Mus musculus: one gene and its partners. The protein of the gene in region 2 interacts with the protein of the main gene of each other region in a pairwise test. Links are inferred from orthologs where the notes say so. Each region holds a gene or a part of one and is shown on either strand. Other genes may lie near its edges.

Region 1 (3,500 bases), on a different chromosome or scaffold from region 2:
CGTGCGCCACCACGCCCGGCCCCACTGTTCTTAATTCTAAGAAAAACATCTGTTCTCCACATATGCCTCTTCAATATCCGTGTGGGTATTTGCCTGCCATGTGTGTCTGAACTGTGTGCATTGCAGTGCCTGAGGAGGCCTGAAAAGGGATTTGCATCTAGCACTGGCGTTAATAGGTGGTTGTGAGTTGTCATGTGGGTCCTGGGACTTGAACCTGAGTCCTCTGGAATAGCAACCAACTACTGTGAGCCATCATCTTGGTCCTGCTCCATTTTTTTTGAGACAGGGTTTCATTTTGAACCCCAGACTAGCTTGCAACTTGGCATTCTGCCTCAGCCTTCTGAGTGCTGTGTGCCTGGTTGGATGTTGTAATGAATGTCCAGTCAGCAGTGTTTATGCGTCTTGTAGTCTTTGATATGTACCAGGGTTTGGCATTTCATTTGGTAAGGTAATTCACGGTCTGCTGTGCCTTGACCCCACAGTATTAACAGTTTGCTTCTCTTATTTTACTTCTTACATGATTAATTTGCACTTGTAATTAAAAAAACCAAGATGCTGGAGTGACAGCAAAGCCGTATGAAGGAAGCAGGGTGGCTCCCTTGGTGCTGGGTTCAGAGCTCCTGTGCCTATCTGATAGGAAAGCGCCCAGCAGTGGGATCAGCAAAGCAATACTCATGTCCCTGGGCATTGGGTTTCAGTAGTCTCCAGTTACTATAAATATTTATTTGTAGAGAGTTTTCTCTTAACTGTAAAAACAATATTCACTTTTGGGCTATATAAAAACAAATTGTGAGAGCCAGATTGCTTTTGTAGGCTGAAGCTTGCCAAATTGTCTTAAGATATTTTTAAACTTTAGAGTGTGGAAAAGCTAACTTGAAACTTCAAAATATAGGAACATCACAAACACGGGACTCACAGCAAATTAGAAAGATGAATGGAGACGCTTAAGTGATAAAGGGGCACTAGTTCAGAATCCAGAATGAAATGAAGAATTAAATAGTTGGTTAACATTACACTGGCATTTCCCCCCCAGTACTGTGTCAGAACTCTTCTCTCTTTATTGAAGTAAGCCAACTTGCTCTTTTTGGGCCTCTGAAGTGTCACTGTCAGAATTCTTGTGCCTTGGAGCCATAACCAAGTACAGTAAAGGTTGATCTGAAAATAGAGCTTAGTAACTAGTACTGGTTAGCAACTTTATTTAGCTATGAACACTAAGTGTGGAGAAGGGGATGTAAAGTCACAATATATACTGTGTCTTAAAACATAAATGTGTGTCTTAATCTGTTTGTTTGTTTGTTTTTTTTGTTTTGTTTTTAAATAAATTTTTAGCTAGTATGTTCAACACCCCCGGAATGCAGAGCCTGCTGCAGCAGATAACTGAGAACCCACAGCTCATGCAGAACATGCTGTCCGCCCCATACATGAGGAGCATGCTGCAGTCCCTGAGCCAGAACCCCGACCTTGCTGCGCAGGTGAGCTTGTGGCTGTGCTGAGAGTGTTCTGAACTAAACAGGCCTGTGGTATCCTCTCCGCACGTTGGCTTGTGCTCTCTCAGAACACTAGAGATGTGGACACTGCACCTCCAGCTTTGGGGGCAGTTTTAGTTCAGATATACTTGAAACAATCTCATGTCTGCCATTTGTTGATGAGATGTACTTTTAAAAACAAAACCAGGCATTTTTAGGGAACCTGCTCTGATCACTGCTGCTCCCCAGTGTGGTGTTTGGTGCTAGCTCTCGGGGTGGTGGTTGTGGATGGAGATGGAGCAGCAGCACCCTTCCTGTGCCTGAACAGCTGGAGGGAGTACAGTGAGCACCCACGTGGTCACTGCTGGAGGAATGTAGCTTACAGTGTGCTCTGGGTGCTTACAGCACTCTGTTAAGTTTAAAAGCTTCTCTTCTTTCATTATGAAATGGTTTTTATTTTCAAAATCCTGCAGCCACACTGCTACAAGGGTATAGCAGATGTCGTTGAGGTAGGGTCGGTCCTTGGTGATGACTTATGTAACAACAAATACTTAAAGGACAATGCATCTGGATAATGTTAATCTCAAAACGTGCATGGTATGGGTTGTTGTGTGGTTTTGTGAATTTATTAATTAAGTGCTTGATGTTAATGCGTGCTAAGCATTTTTGTCACTTGGGTCCCTGAGATGTGGAGGTGTGTGAAGTGACCTATATTTTCAAGTATGTATTCAGTTAACCCTGAGTGTGTGCCTTATCCTTGGTTCCTCGTTAGTGAGCACACTCTTGTCTGTAGGGGACCTGGGTGCTTCGCAGCTGTTGTCTGCTAGCAGTAAAGCAAAACCCTGGCAGTCAAGGTGATGCCCTTATGATAGAGTCCTTCCCAGCTTACAGTGTGCTCTGATGCCGCTGCTCACGTTCATAGTGGGTATTCTTTTCAACTTAAATATTTAATTATGTTAAATGTAGAAACTGAATTGTGGAATGGAGGTTCAGGTAAGTGAGGAAAATATAATAAGTATGATAAATAAAAAGGTGTGTATGTGTGAGTGTGTGTGTGAGACAAGCTTTTTCTATACTAGTTGAGTAATTTAAGATGAAAGTAAATGTGGTAACTGATTAACAGCCTCGTAACAAACGAGCATTTGCCCGGAAGACTTAAAAAGAGGCGTCCCTGGCCTGGAGCAGGTTCTGGTAATTTGCTGCTTACTCTAAAGTACACTCTGTATCCATAAGACACCAACTGTTTCCTGCTTTGAAATTAAATAATCCACTTTGAAGGAGGGATGGGAGAAGTTGTTTTTTTTTTAAGACAGGATTTACATACAGTTGTTATTTAGTATGGTTGCCTAATTGAGGGCAAAGATCATTTCCTCCCCAGACTTTGGACAGGTAAAGGGGCCATCAGTAATCTTTGGGAAGCAATATGCAATTTGTCTTTTTTGAACCTTGTAGTTTCTGGTTTGCTTATTGTGCATGACGGTCTCACCCCAGGCAGTCACATCATGTTAATACTGGTCATACGTTGACGGCTAGGTGTCCCCCGTTTTTACTGTGGTGCTAGTGAAGTGGAAGCCAGACGTTAGTTAATCTCGGTGTTCTTTCTCATTTACCTCTCTGCGGCTTAGGTATCTAAGCACTTCCCTGAGGATGGCTGGTGCTAGTTTGGACTGGTTTTCACCTAGCAGCTCCATTTCTCTGACAAGTTGATTGCTGCTTTGTGGTTATTCTGGACCTAACAGCAACTGTTAGTGGTGGGCAGGCAGATCCAATGGTCTTAGACCTGGGTGTTCTCTCTGCTTGCTGTTTGTGTGTTGAAGTTTCTAAGCAAGCCATGTTTAAGCTGTTACATATTGATGTTTCTTTTACTCTGTAGTGTAGCAGAAAGCATATCTTCCTGAGAGCCTGGCACTCCCAGGTTTTTTCTTTTCAAAGGCAGAAATTCACACCTTTGTTCAAGGAAAAGGAGACAAAACAATTGCTTTTATTTTTTTAGGGCACTGCATGTCATCCATCACCCACCATTCTCGTTGAAAG
Region 2 (3,500 bases):
TCTTAATTCTAGCATTAAAACCTTTGGTTACAAATGACAATGTGAATACTCACTGGGAAACTCACGTTCGTTCGAAGGAATCCTGCTCATTTCAACAGATCAAGGAAATGGATTGGGAGCCAGGGGAATAACGAGTTAACCTGCACTCTAGCCCATGGGTTCCTGGGGATAGTCTGATCATTCATGAAAAAGTTTGAAGTAGGTCTCTTTATTTCAGTGTGTTTTTTTCTTTTTTCCTGTTAACATTTTAGATCTCACTTCTAAGCCCTAAGAGTTTGAATACCTTACCTCCAGCAAAACACTAGTCAGATCATTCTGCCATGTTCTCCTCTATTGACCTATGGCCTGGCGTAGGGAAGGTGTGTGTTACCTTGAGTTATCTGCGTGCAAACTGGCTCTGCTGGGCTCGCAGCAGTTTCTGGTCCTTCTGGCATTTGGAATGAAGACTCCTGCATCAGAAAGGAAGGGAGAAGGAGGGGTCATTGTTTTTGGTTTTTGATCCTCAGAGGACCCCCGTAAACCCCTTCAGGTTATGTTAGAGCATATACTCTGGGGAGTAGGCATACCTGCTCCTGGTCAGTCTGGCTCACTACAGCTTCGTATGGAGGTGGGGGGTCCAGAGGACAGAACACTTCCACACCCTTGATGCGTGCTCCATAGATATGGGGCAGTGGGATGACATCAGAACCAACCATCCTAGAAAAAGCACCGGGTGTCAGGAGGTGCGCTCTGTACACTGGCCCTCCTACAGCAGCAGACCCTGGACCCTCTGCCTTTGCCTTTAAATTGGGAGTGGCCTGGACCTAGAGGAAAGACACTCACAGAAGCTCAGCCAAAGAGGAATAACTATTCAAGCTATCCTTAGGCAAATACCCAGGGGGTCCTTTAGAAATGACAGTGTATAAAACGTAATGCCCTTTTTTCCTTTTAGTACAGCAGTGTCCATGGGGATGGAGAGCATGGGTGGCTGCCAGGCTCTGAGGGAGGGGCTAGGGAGGGGTTGCTTAGTGTTTATGGACTTGGCAGTTGCTTACGGGAGAGGATAATGCTTTGCAGAGAGTTAGAGGTGATGGTTGCACAATGAGGTGGATATACAAAATACCACTGAAGCATATCGCTAACAACAGCCAAGGCAACTAAGGGTAAGGAGAATCTTGGTGCCCTCCTGCAGTCGTTCACAGAAAAAGCTTCTTGCCTCGGTTTCCTTCACGTCTGATTCGTGAGAGAAATTCACTGTTGGATAACTTTTTTTAAAAGGGGAAATTAATTTCAAACAAAAGGTGAGCATTGCCCCCAGCTCCAAGACAAAACAGGAGCTAGCAGAAAGGATCATAGAGTGACTCGCACATGCTCCTCAGGTCACTCCCTGACTAATGATGCACTGGGCCAGGTGGGTGGCACTGGATAAAATTCAGAAACAAGAGTCCTAGTAAGAACAAAGAAAGAGGTGGGTTAACATTCTATTTTTCTCTGAACTTGATGTGACAAACCTGGCTGAGTTGACAAAAAAGATCTGCGTCCATTTGGAATATTGATACCTCACTCCCAACAACAAAGCTATAGCTAACCGATAGTTTCAGCAGAGAAACTTTAAAAGAGTCTCGCTATTACCAAGATGCAGAGAGGCTGACTTGACAGTTACTCTGTCATGTGACTGGGACTGAAGAACCAGCTGCTGTTTTCCTGGTTAAAGCTAACTTCTCCTGGGGCTCCTCTTCCTCCCTCAACCATTCCTGCTGATGTCAGCTATTTCTACTCTGTTCTTCACACACACCCACTTCTGTTGCTCCACCACGGGATATGTGGGGTTCCTGAGACTGTACCATCTGCCACACTCAGCAACATAAGTATATGATGTCTCTGCCTTAGCACAGAACTACTCAATTATACTCCTCCTTTCCAAATTGCCTTTCTCCCAACCAACGTTAGATGCTTTCCCTTTTCAAGTACTTCTTAAGTAATAGTTTTTGTTGTTGTTAGAGAGGGTTTGATGTCCCAGTGCTTACAGATAAGCACCAGAAAACCAGACATTTTAAACATGAAAGGTTGTCTCTTCAAAGGAACTGATGCAGAACCCGTTTTTCCCACCGAGAAGGCTAGAAATGAATTTGGTTAGTAGCCTGGATGCCTTCTGCACTATCTGTATGACCACACCTGATCCTCCTCCAAGTCCTTAAGATAACATATGTAGTCTGTCTATAAATCCCAGTTTCCAGGGCTAAAGAGATGACTCATGGGTTAAGAGCACTGCCTGTTCTTTCAGAGGTTCTGAGTTCAATTTCCAGTAATCACATGGTATCCCAGAATCATCTACAATGAAATCCAATGCCCTCTTCTACCATGTAGGCAGACACGCAGATAGAGCACTTACATGCATAGACTACATAAATAAACTTTAACAAAAGAACCCATCTTTATGGAAGAAGTGGCACATACGTTAAGAGTTTCAATGCAATTCAATCCCTTAAGCTTTATTGTATACACAGAATTATGTTACACCAGAAAACTTTTCTATATTGTGCTAAACTTAAACCAAAAAACTTAAACTAAACTTGAACCAACACTGGCTACTGAGTCATATTGAACAGGACTTCTTTTTTGGCTCATGAGGATCTACAGTCTGATGGCCATAGTGTTTCCAGAGACAACACACACACACACACACATTGTTGTTGTTGTTGTTGTTGTTGTGTTGTTGTTGTTGTTGTTTTAACTGTGGTTGTAGGACCCTTGACAGAAAAATTAAAAGGAAAACCAAACTCACAAGATTCCCTGCCAGTATTTATCGCATATAATAAAAAGAAGAAAAGACATTAGAAAACACAGAACTGAAATTTTAAAGTAATTAAAAAAGCAAAAGGTAAAACAAAACAGAGAACCCTGTGCTCAGTAGGTACTAGATGACCCATAGCAATGTCTCTTCTTTAAAAAAAAATAAAATAAAATTCTCTTCTTAGAATATGAAGAAAAGAAAAGAGGGAAGCTTACAGATAAAAAGACAGACCCAAGGCCAGATGCATCTAAGCGACTGAAGGGGAGAGGCAGAAACTGGATTTAAAACTCATCTTATTTCTTGTGCCCATTTATGCTCCCCTGAAAGGATAGAGGCGAGGTTTTATACTGGCACATGACTTTGGATGTTCCCCAGAGTGGCTGTGTAAAGTGTCAAGCATCCAGTGCACAAAGAAGTCCCATGAAAACACTCTCCCTGGTCTAGAGGGTTCCTGTCAAAGCTGCCCTAAGTAGATATTCTCCATAGAACAAGGACTCAGGCATGGATTTCGTTCCAACTCTCCTACCTAGCTCATGCTGTTTAAAAACTCCCACTGCTGAGTGACTCCAAAGGACTAGACCCTTCCTAGATTTAGTGGGAGAGTCCTGACCAATGAACATCACAGCTGTCTGAATCAGAGAGGCCAACTTTCTCCAGATATGGTGAGGCTTCAGTCTTTAATCAACACCCATGAGTCATCTTTCTAGCATTTCTAAACCCTGCCTTT
Region 3 (3,450 bases), on a different chromosome or scaffold from region 2:
GCATTTGGCAGTTGACAGGGTGGGATGAAGAAGGGGCACACAGCAAGCATATTCCTCTACCTAAGCCCACAGTCCTGAGTCCTCCTGTGCCCTAGATAAGAACTGCCTTATAAATGTGTCTACCATTTGACTAAAGTCAGGGACAATCTTTTGCTGTGTTTTCATGTGTACACAAACCTGTATGAAGAGGCTGAGGCCAATGTGGGCTGTCACCCTCAATTGCTCTCTACCTCATTGTTTGAGACAAGAGCACTCTCACTGAGCCCGTTGGTAGGCCTGTTATTTGTGCCCAGCTTTTTTTTTTTTTTTTTTTTGAGACAGGGTTTCTCTGTATAGCTCTGGCTGTCCTGGAACTCACTTTGTAGACCAGACTGGCCTCGAACTCAGAAATCCCCCTGCCTCTGCCTCCTGAGTGCTTATATGGGATCCTCGCTTCACCCACTGGAATAACCTTGATGCCATCTGTCACTCTTCAAACTTTTAGAAACCACAAAAAAACATTTTGAGAGTTATATAATCACTTTATTTTCCATCCCCCCTCAAATGTAACAACATTAAAGCCATTCCAACATATAGCTATTCCTATGGCTCCTTGCATAGCTCATATCTAGCTGAAGTTAGATATTTCAGTAACGAGATGAAGGTTATCTCATCAAAATGACAACATGTCTCAAAAACAGGTTCTCTATTCCTGTAACTCTCTTCCTACCCCTCAAAACTTAAAACCCCTTCAGTCCAAGGCTAACAGGAAGATAGCCCACAGCCACGGCTAAATCATTGCACCCAGATAGCCCACAGCCACGGCTAAATCATTGTACCCAGATAGCCCACAGCCATGGCTAAATCATTGCACCCATGCACAGAAAGGGGTCCCAGACAACCAGAGGGGTTAGGGTTAGACTTCTGGAACAGGCAACTTATTATTTATACAGAATAGACTATGGAAGAAAAGCCCCCTTTGTTAGTGTTTTACCTCCACCCCAAGTTACTGCATACCAAGCGGCTATGAATAATGGCAGCCAGCTGACTGCAAGTCCCGCAGTGCATGCAACTTAAAAGTCTCTACAGCATGGTCCCAGGGGACACTAGGGAGCCACCAGGTTGCCAGCTGAGTCTGCTGGGTTGCTGGGATTTGGAGGTGTGGCTGCTTTGGCTTCTAGCTGTTGGCTTTCAGTTTGTGGATCTTTGTTTTCAGGACCTTTCTTATCCTTGTCGGCTACCACGGCACCCATGATTTCCTGGAGTGGCTGCTCGGCCTCAAGGTTGCTGGGCTGGAGTTCATAGACTTGTACTTGACCTGGGACATCAATTGCTTTCTGCTCAAGTTTTTCCAAGATGGTCTGAACCTTCCTGACGCCATCTCTCCTGGCCTGCCGCACATCAGCTCGTCCTTCAGGGTCTACGGAATCCAGGGCCAGCAGCTCTTTGGTCAAATACTCTTCGATCATCAGGTATTTTTTATCAGTCTTCTTGCCTTCAAAGCTGTCTACAGCCTGCTCCAGCCCTTGTACCTTCTCCAGGATGGCTTCCACTTTCAGCACACCTGGATGCTTAGGGGGTGTTTCGGCTTCTCCCGATTTGGGGGCTGCAGGTTCTGCAGGGGCAGGGCTGGGGGCCGCCTTCTGTTCTGCAGCCACATTCTTGGGGGGAGAAGGGACAGCCGAAGGAGCGGGGCTGGGAGAAGGACAAGGAATTGGAGCAGAGGAGACCTTTACTTCTACCTTTTCAGCAGGAGGAGGTGACTTCTGGGAAACAGGCTTAGAGTCTGCCTCCCTTCGGATCACTTGGATGGGGATGTGTCCAGGAGGGAGGTCTGGTCCGGCTGGGCCTGGCTTACTTTCTGGTTTGTTTTCGGGTTGGGTAACAGGTGGAGGCTCTCGATGGGTCATGGGCTGTTGAGAAAAAGAGGACATCAACTTTTAATAACTGTCTAAAGCAATAATTCGTGGTTAATAGCAGGCGAAGAAATAAAAAAGAAATAAAAGCAAGAAAGCTGGAAATAACTTTTTTTTTTTTTGGTATGTTTGCAGGATCTTGTGCCCCATGTCCACATGGCCCTCAGGGGACAACCTGCAGAGATTTCTACCCTTCCTCTATGTGGGTTCTGGGAACTGAACTCAGGCTGCCAGGCTTGCAAGCTCTTTATCCACAGAGCTTAGAAAATGATGTTCATAAAAAAAAAAGATTTAAAAATTTTTTATTTATGTATATGTGATCTGTGTGTATGTTATCTATCCTTGGAAGTCAGAAGAGGGAGTCAGATATCCTGGAACTGAAGCTCCAAGAAACTATGAGGCACCCACACAGGCGCTGGGAACCAAACTTAATCAAGAGCTGAGCCATTTCTCTATGCCCATAATGAGATCTTTTTAAAGGCAGCCAATAGCTGAAATGCAAACTGGATGTTGATTATGAATGCGACCAAATTATCTGCTAAGCCTCCACTGATTGGCTCGCTACCTGCTTGTCTTCTGTAGAGAGGTGACAGCCTTACAGACAAGGAAAAGTACGCCACTGTAATTTTCAAAAATGAAACAGCATGCTGGCTCTCAGTAGGGTTTGCTCAGAGCAATCTCTGACTGACTGCATTTCAGCCCTGGGCCAGAGATGCTGCCTCGGGTCTTGCTGTATAAGGTCTCAGCTCCCAGGTGCCCTTTCAAGGTGACCTGTAACAGCCTAGTGGTTTCTGCTCAGACCAGTTTGTTGTTTGTTTTTTGAAAATAAGCTAGATGCTTGAAATAGTTAACCCTGGAGGAATTCAGGCCCTGCATATTGATGCAATGCCGTGATATAATTGATGCCTTACCCTGGCATTTGGCTGCACAGCCCTTCCAGGGACTGGAGATCAAGGTCATATTTTAAAATATCAACTATGCTCCAAACTGGAACCGAATAGGGCTCTTCTAGCACTGAATGAATACTTAGACTCCAAAACCCTTACAATGCCCCAGCTTCATTAACTGGGAGGAAATGTTGCGCTACTTCATCCCAAGTAAAAGTATTAATTCTATTTTAATGGTCAGATAAGTTAAATCCTTGAAAGTTCTAAAAAAAAAAAAAAGGTTCTTTGAACAAGATGTAAAAGAAAGGCTACCTTGATCAAGGTCAATAGAGGTCGAACTAGGACTAAATACTCCCTCACTGACTACAGGAAACATGGGCAGCCCTGTCCTGGGATTACAAAATCCAAGGATGGACCCTGAGTGGGTGGCTATCTCACTGGCGTGCTGTTTCCACCAAACGCTTTCTGCCCAGCATCATCAGCCCTCACTCCTCACCAGGCCTCTCGGCTGCCCTCCCACTGTGGGTTTTAAAATCAATGGATGGCTGTGTGAGAGTAAACTTAGGAAAAGGATGTCCCCTGCTCTTCAGAAATGTCAAGGTCATGAAAGCATTAAAAGGCTGAGGGACCATGCCAGAGACTAAAGAGAAGTGACATCTAAAGTCAGT
Region 4 (3,500 bases), on a different chromosome or scaffold from region 2:
AAATACAAAGACTGCTTTTGTGAAATGGATATAGGCTGTGACAATATCTTCCAACTGACTTTTCTATTATTTTACTACACAAGTCTGTTTCTCACAAGAATTTCAAATCTCAAAAAGCAAACAGGAAGCAGAAAAAAACTTCAAAATACCATAAACAGGTAATCTATATGTTAAAACACCATAAACAGGAAATCTATAAGTTAAAACACTATAAACAGGTAATATATACTTTAAGCAACATTAAGGTGAGTTCAACATTAACTAATACCTTCCAAGTCCAAGAGGTCTTGGGAGTCGGGTTTTGACTCTTTTGGATCTATGCTCTGGAGAATCTGCAGGGCTCTATCCATTTTACCCTAGGAAGAAAACAGGAGATGCTGAGAAGTCTGAAGAGTTAACCACGATGAATGGAAAAGCACTGTGCCCACATACTCCAAAAAGATAGCATTATTTTTAAAACATCTTGGTAGTTTATTAAACAAAAGGTCGATACCTCATCTATATAAACAGGCTCAGGTTCTGATTTCTTAATTTCCTCCACATCATCATCAATTACATTCAATTTGTCCACCGTTGCTACAGAAACAAAATAAGTTTTAGGTTTTCAACATTACAATTTAGTCATTAAATTTCTAAGTGGTCTATTATTATCCATAGGAGAAAAGTAGAAGCTCCCTAGTCGCCACACTTCATAATCAATATATTACACACAGTCGTTCATTTACGCCACCATATCTACTCAGCACGCACAGTGTGCCAAACCTCCTTCCCTCTGGTGCTTAGATTCGTGCAGGGAGTGAACAGAATCTTCTGGGGTTGGTGGACCCCACAGTCAAGTGGGACAGAGCAGTATCCACGGGCTCTGTCACTACAGCTACTTTCATGAAAACTGTTACTGCTGAGATGAGTAAATATACAAGCGAATAGATGTTTATGACTAAGCCAGTTTCTCTTATAACAGTGTTCCATCTATACTCTGACCTATATTTATAAATAAAAAAAAAAAACTCAACCTGTATTTCCTATTTGAACAAAATATAGACCCAACTCAATCTAACTCTGAGAGTTAAAATAGTATAAATTACAACAAAAAAGTATTTCATAAAGAGAATGTTTTAAAATAATTTATAAATACGCATATCTGAAAACTACTTAGTACAAGTTCCCTGGAACACTGTTAGAATGTACCTAATTTTAACTAAATTTTGATGGAAACAAAATTACTATAAAAAACAATGTATCTAAAGGACTATTTGGCTAACTTTGAATTAATTACATGTAAAGAAAGCTCAACAAGACACAGAGATACAGTTAGAGTCAAGACACCTTTCATGCAGAGCATGGTGGCACATACCTTTAATTTCAGCACTGAGAGGCACAAGCAGTTGGATCTCTGTGAGTTCAAGGCCAGCCTGATCTACAAAGAGAATCCAGGACAGCTAGGACTCTGTTACACAGAGAAACTGTCCCAAAAAACAAAACATAAAGAGTACCTTTTACCATTTAAAATGTTACTGAAGAGAGGCTGGCATCTAACCTAGGGCACTGCACAGGCTAGGAAATCATTTTACTAGACTATAGGCCAGTCTCTTCCAACTATGCTAAGAGGAAAATCACTGAATAGGATGTTTTCTATGTTTTGTAAAGTTATCTGAAAAGTTCCCAAGGTTCCTATCAACTAAGAAAGCCAAAGTAGATTGTTTTTTGTTGTTGTTGTTTTGGGTTTTGTTTGTTTGTTTGTTTTTTTGGTCCTTGCTGGCCAGAAACTCACTGTGTGAGTCAGGAACTCAGACATCTGCCTGCCTCTGCCTCCCAAGGGCTGGGATTAAAGGTGTGTGCTGCCACGCCCAGTCCCACCTACTCTCAGAAGTCAATAATAAACTCAAAGGAAGATAACTTCAGTAGACTGGAGCTTCTTTGGGAAACTAAAGCCTTTGCTACGTTACCTGTCTCAACCTCTGTGCTTAAGTCAGTCGTTACAAAGTTGGAGGGGAAGAGTCCTGTTCCTCTGTGATTTTCTCCTTGCCACCAGTTGGCGTCACTGAAAACAGCATGAGAAAGGTCATTTGTTATCCTCCATCCTGTCGACAGAAAACTGAACACAGCTACTGGACTTTCCCAGTTGTTCCCATCCAGCTATACATAAGAATTGTTTTCCTTGGCCAGACACAGTGGGATAGACCTGTAATCCTAACACTGGAAAGCCAGAAATGCTTTTTTCTTAAATTAATATATTTATAATTAAATCAGTGAAAAGATAGTCAAAGAAAATCTATATCCTCATACCTACATTTTGAAGCAATTATCAGTGACTAAACCCCAAGCCCAAATCCATCCTTCCACGCTACATCCATCCCAACTAAAGCAGCTCCCTTCCCAGCCTCCTTGCCACCTTTCACACAAGGACAACTGAACTGACACCTGTATGGAGACGTGTTACCCGGGCAGAGCGTACAGTTTCATGATGCTACTCATCTTTAAAGTTCCATCCCAAGTGCCTATGCACTTAGTCCAGTCATTTCTGTGAAGGTGAACTCCTGACAGCTCATTCCAGGTCACTCCCAGTCTCCCAACACTACAAGGACTGAAGAGTACAGAGGTGGTGGGAGATGCCCTTGGGAGGCAGAAGCAGGTGGATCTCTGAGTGGGGCCAGCCTGGTCTACAGAGTGAGCTCTAGCACAGCCAGGGCTACACAGAGAATCCCTGTCTCGGGAAAAAAACAAATAAACAAGACTGACTAGTAACCACTCTGGGTTAGAAAGCCCACAAGCAACAGCTGCTCTAGGTTGTTCAAGGCCGTGACCTGCAGGCTAGGTGTGTTCACACGTCTATAGTTCTTAGTACTTGGAAAGAACTGCACAGCCACGGGTTCAAGACCAGTCTGGAGAAAAAGGCCAAACAATGAAACTATCTCTGAAAAGGACTGAGGGATGGGGCTGGGGAAGGATGGACACACAGACAAAACTACTTGCTGCTCACATGTTTATTAGAAAGACTGGTAGCTCACACTCCTTCTTCCCCAAGGAGGATGGGGCAGTCATTTTCCCCACACTTGATAACTGCCCATACCAACATCTGATGCCAGAAAGAAGGCGAGCCAGGCGTGCTTCAGCAAGCTCATCCGCACTCTCCAGGGCCCACTAGTGCTACACTGCCTCTTCCACAGACTGACTTTTCTTTTTCTTCTTTGAGACAGTTTCTCTGTGTAACTTTGGCTGCACTGGAACTTGCTTTGTAAACCGCTTGTTCTTTTTTTTTAAAGATTTATTTATTTTTATATGAGTACATCGTAGCTGTCTTCAGACACACCAGAAGAAGGCATCAGACCCCATTACAAATGGTTGTGAGCCACCATGTGGTTGGCTGAGAAATGAATTCAAGACCACTGGAAGAGCAGTCAGTGCTCTTATCCACTGAGCCATCTCTCCAGCCCCAAACTGCTTATTCTTATCTTTGCCTGTTAGTTTTTCCTACTGGACCACAGGTATTTGTTTTTTCA
Region 5 (3,500 bases), on a different chromosome or scaffold from region 2:
TATACAGAAACACAGTCAGAAAAATAAATGGCCTGGCTAAAAACAGAGACATGAATCAATTTGATAAAATACAGGCCCTAGAGTTAAAAAGCCACTTGACTTTCGTCTAATGAATGGGCAGTTCTTGAAAGATGAGGAACAAATGGAAAAAAAAACAAAAACAAAAACAACAATGTTCAACATCACTAGTCATCACAGAAATGCAAATTAACACTACACAGAGATTCCATCTTACCCCAGAGTTGCTAACAAAGAGAAAACAACAAATGCTAGCAAGGAAGCAGAGAAAAGAGCATCCTTACACACTGCCGCTGAGCATGTAATCTGGCTTGCTTCTATAGTAACTACTAAAAGACAAAAACAGGAAAGAGGACTAATTGCTTACCAAATACCATACAGCCATGGAAATATGCATACAATTAACATCATACAGACTGAATAGGTTATATTTAGGAATATATACGCATATACATATAAACATGTAACAACAGTTAATGAAAGCATGGGTCCATGAATTTGAAGGAGAGCAGAGGTACATGGGAGAGGGCTTGAAGGGAGGGATAAGAAGAGAGAAATAATCTAATTATATTTATAATCTCAACTTGATGAAAATGCGTAAAGTTAGAAATGATTATGTTTAGTGAAATAAACCAGACAGAAAAGCAAAGGTTTCATGCTTCCCTTTTTTCAGAAAGGTATATATTCGTTACTTTTTTCTTCAAAGATGTGTTCTTATTTTAAGTGGATGAATATTTGCCTGCACATATGTTATATGTACCATGTGAATGCCTGGTGCCTGCAGAGGACAGAGTCGGATCTGGAACTAGAGTTACAAATGGTTGCGCGCTACCATGTAGGTTCTGGGAACCAAACTGGAGTTTAGTACACAGGAGCAGCAAATGCTCTTAACTACTGAGCCAATTTTCTAGCTGTCCTGTGACAGGAAAATAGAAAACGAACTGGGAAAGGATAAGAGTAGCTGAAGGCAGTAAGGCTAGGGGGAGGAAATGCAAGACTGAACATACTCAAAGCCCATGGTTACTTAAAACTTCTTTGTACAACCCAGCAGCATACATACTGAATAGATGCCAATAAAATATTTATTATGTACAAGCTAAAAATTGGGATTGTGGGCTGTGTGTGTTGGTACACACCTTTATTCCCAGCAAACGTAGGTGGGTCTCTGATTTTGAGTCTGGGTTGGTCTATAGAACAAATACCACAACAGCCAAAGCTACATAGAGAACCCTTTCTTGCAAAGCCAAAATAAATAAATACTAAAACTTTTCAAGAGTAGTGTGGGATGAAATGTCAGTGAAAGGGGAGTTCCCAGACACAATTCTGCCCATTCCTGGCATAGCTTCAGTCCCTTCATCTGTAAACGAGGAGGCTACATCGCCTTTGCAAAATACTTTACGTTAAATTTTTATCATAAAGAACTTAAAAATAAAAAATTCATACACCAAAATTAACCAGACCCCACATCTATTGATCGTTATAAACATTCTGAAGCTGTGAAGCTTCACACTGGATTTTCACTATTGAATATTTGCATGCATTTATCCATCACCAAAAAATGGCAGATTTAAAACTAGAAAAAATATACTTTATATCCTCTTTTATGAATCAAGTTTCAGTTACCTACATTCATTCAGTCTTTCACTATCATCTCTGATAAGTTACTCTTTCCTGTTCTCTTCTTCAGGTTATACTATCCCGAAGTGCACTTTTACACACACACACACACACACACACACACACACACATTGCATTGTATATGTATATGTGTAATAGGCTAGGAGAACATACAACTTTTCTTTCTGAGATTTTGAAGACTGGAAATCGCTTTCAGCAGCATGTTGTCATGGCTTCTGACTTGGTCAGAAGCGAGACTGCCTATTGCGAATGCACATGGGAAAGTGACTAACGATATGCATTGTTCGAGCAAACTCGAGCAGGATCTGGATCAGCACAGAGCACAAGGACCTGAGCCAGCGGAGAAAGAACCTGACGAGAGTTTTCCATGTGTTTCATAAAAACTACTAAGGTTAAGAGTGTAAATATAGGATATTTCTAATTATATCCCATACCTTCTACAGAATGAATTCAATCAGCTCTATCAACCTACCCAATATATTCATCTTTGTTTTCTTCCGTCACCAGGATATTGGAACCTCCCAACTTTAAATCATGTGAAGTAACTTTTCCCAGAATCTCCATGTCTACAGAAAAGTACATTTCTAAGCCACATTCTTCAATATTGTTATCTCTGGATAAAAAAAAAAAAAATAGTGTGAGTGTGCATATAAACACAGTATAGGAATGGGTTTCAAGTAATTACTTCTATTACAAAAAAAAACTTCAAACCTTATCCAGATTAGAGAGTTGTAAAATTCAGTATCAATAGATTCCAAATCCTTAATAGTAAGTTTTTTACTTAGCATACGCTTGTAGAATGGTAAAGAGAAACCAGTATCAATAAACTTTCCATGGAACAGTGCCTGTTAAAAACAAACAAAACATTTTATTTAAACTTACAAAATAATAATCTTTATAGCATAGTGACAATATAGAAATCATGCAGCTTTACATATTAAAAAGCACTATTCAATGGTATAAAATGTGAAGATTAGCATACTATGCAATGCATAGAAAACTACAATGAAAACATTTATTTCATAGGTCAAACATAATGTACATAAAAACTATAAAGAGATGATGAGACTTTATTACCAAATTCTGCCACTTTTAAATATTTTTAGTAATTAACTTAAACACAGAAATAAAAAGCCCATGTACTTTGTTCCATTCCTTTATTAATCTGTAGGACCCCTGTGTCTTCATGCCTACATACAGCATGAATACAGGAAGACACCAATGATTTTTGAATCCATAATATCTAAAACTATTTGCAGACCCTTAATCTGTTTACATTAAATCAATAAATCATGAAATTATCTTCTTATATAGCTTCAAACCCTCCCCAATGTATTTCTAACAAACTCCCAAATCTAGACAAAATCAATTAAGAATTTATACTGCCTATATAGTGGTAGAACATGCTAGAAGTACATATAGCAAGCTAGCTAGCTATGACCAGCAACCTCATAGAAGCATGTTTACTCACGACATTCAGTTTCCCTGTCTCAGATGACTACGAACTGCTATTCCTTTGTCCTCAAATACTTACTAAACTTACTGCACACAGGAAATGGTAACCGGGAGCACATTTGTGTAGTCTACCCATCTGCTCACCACTAGCATCTCAACTCTCATACTCCTATTGCAAGTAAACTTTCTACCACTTTTGTGAGCAATACAAACTTCTCCCTTTGATTCAAGGTCATTTGCCAATACTTCTTATATTACGGGGTTCATCCAGTTCTTTTTCCTCATCTGGGCTTGGTGGCTATAACCAGCACACAGGAGGTTGGGGTAGGCTATCAACCTAAGCTACAATATCAGAATCCTATTAATTGTTACCAAATTCTCTAGGATAC

Evidence for each region.
Region 1: the proteins of Fam189a2 (region 2) and Ubqln1 interact in a two-hybrid assay, tested with the Homo sapiens proteins (2 studies listed by BioGRID and IntAct). The link is inferred for Mus musculus from reciprocal best matches to the Homo sapiens genes ENTREP1 and UBQLN1.
Region 3: the proteins of Fam189a2 (region 2) and Bag3 interact in a two-hybrid assay, tested with the Homo sapiens proteins (2 studies listed by BioGRID and IntAct). The link is inferred for Mus musculus from reciprocal best matches to the Homo sapiens genes ENTREP1 and BAG3.
Region 4: the proteins of Fam189a2 (region 2) and Stam2 interact in a two-hybrid assay, tested with the Homo sapiens proteins (2 studies listed by BioGRID and IntAct). The two-hybrid records come from large-scale screens. The link is inferred for Mus musculus from reciprocal best matches to the Homo sapiens genes ENTREP1 and STAM2.
Region 5: the proteins of Fam189a2 (region 2) and Wwp1 interact in binary tests that used the Homo sapiens proteins (3 or more experiments, as listed by UniProt). The link is inferred for Mus musculus from reciprocal best matches to the Homo sapiens genes ENTREP1 and WWP1.

What each region holds. Positions count from the first base shown.
Region 1 is NC_000079.6:58,181,154-58,184,653, reverse strand, and holds part of Ubqln1 (ubiquilin-1), read left to right. Parts: intron 1-1,329; coding exon 1,330-1,472; intron 1,473-3,500. UniProt on the Homo sapiens protein: Plays an important role in the regulation of different protein degradation mechanisms and pathways including ubiquitin-proteasome system (UPS), autophagy and endoplasmic reticulum-associated protein degradation (ERAD) pathway.
Region 2 is NC_000085.6:23,979,020-23,982,519, forward strand, and holds part of Fam189a2 (protein FAM189A2), read right to left. Parts: intron 697-3,500; coding exon 567-696; intron 450-566; coding exon 371-449; intron 1-370. UniProt on the Homo sapiens protein: Functions as an activator of the E3 ubiquitin protein ligase ITCH in the ubiquitination of the CXCL12-activated CXCR4 receptor. Thereby, triggers CXCR4 endocytosis and desensitization, negatively regulating the CXCL12/CXCR4 signaling pathway.
Region 3 is NC_000073.6:128,544,032-128,547,481, reverse strand, and holds the end of Bag3 (BAG family molecular chaperone regulator 3), read right to left. Parts: intron 1,893-3,450; coding exon 1,086-1,892; 3' UTR 501-1,085; downstream 1-500. UniProt on the Homo sapiens protein: Co-chaperone and adapter protein that connects different classes of molecular chaperones including heat shock proteins 70 (HSP70s), e.g. HSPA1A/HSP70 or HSPA8/HSC70, and small heat shock proteins (sHSPs), e.g. HSPB8.
Region 4 is NC_000068.7:52,707,650-52,711,149, forward strand, and holds part of Stam2 (signal transducing adapter molecule 2), read right to left. Parts: intron 2,042-3,500; coding exon 1,947-2,041; intron 577-1,946; coding exon 494-576; intron 357-493; coding exon 269-356; intron 1-268.
Region 5 is NC_000070.6:19,625,505-19,629,004, forward strand, and holds part of Wwp1 (NEDD4-like E3 ubiquitin-protein ligase WWP1), read right to left. Parts: intron 2,502-3,500; coding exon 2,368-2,501; intron 2,270-2,367; coding exon 2,129-2,269; intron 1-2,128. UniProt on the Homo sapiens protein: E3 ubiquitin-protein ligase which accepts ubiquitin from an E2 ubiquitin-conjugating enzyme in the form of a thioester and then directly transfers the ubiquitin to targeted substrates.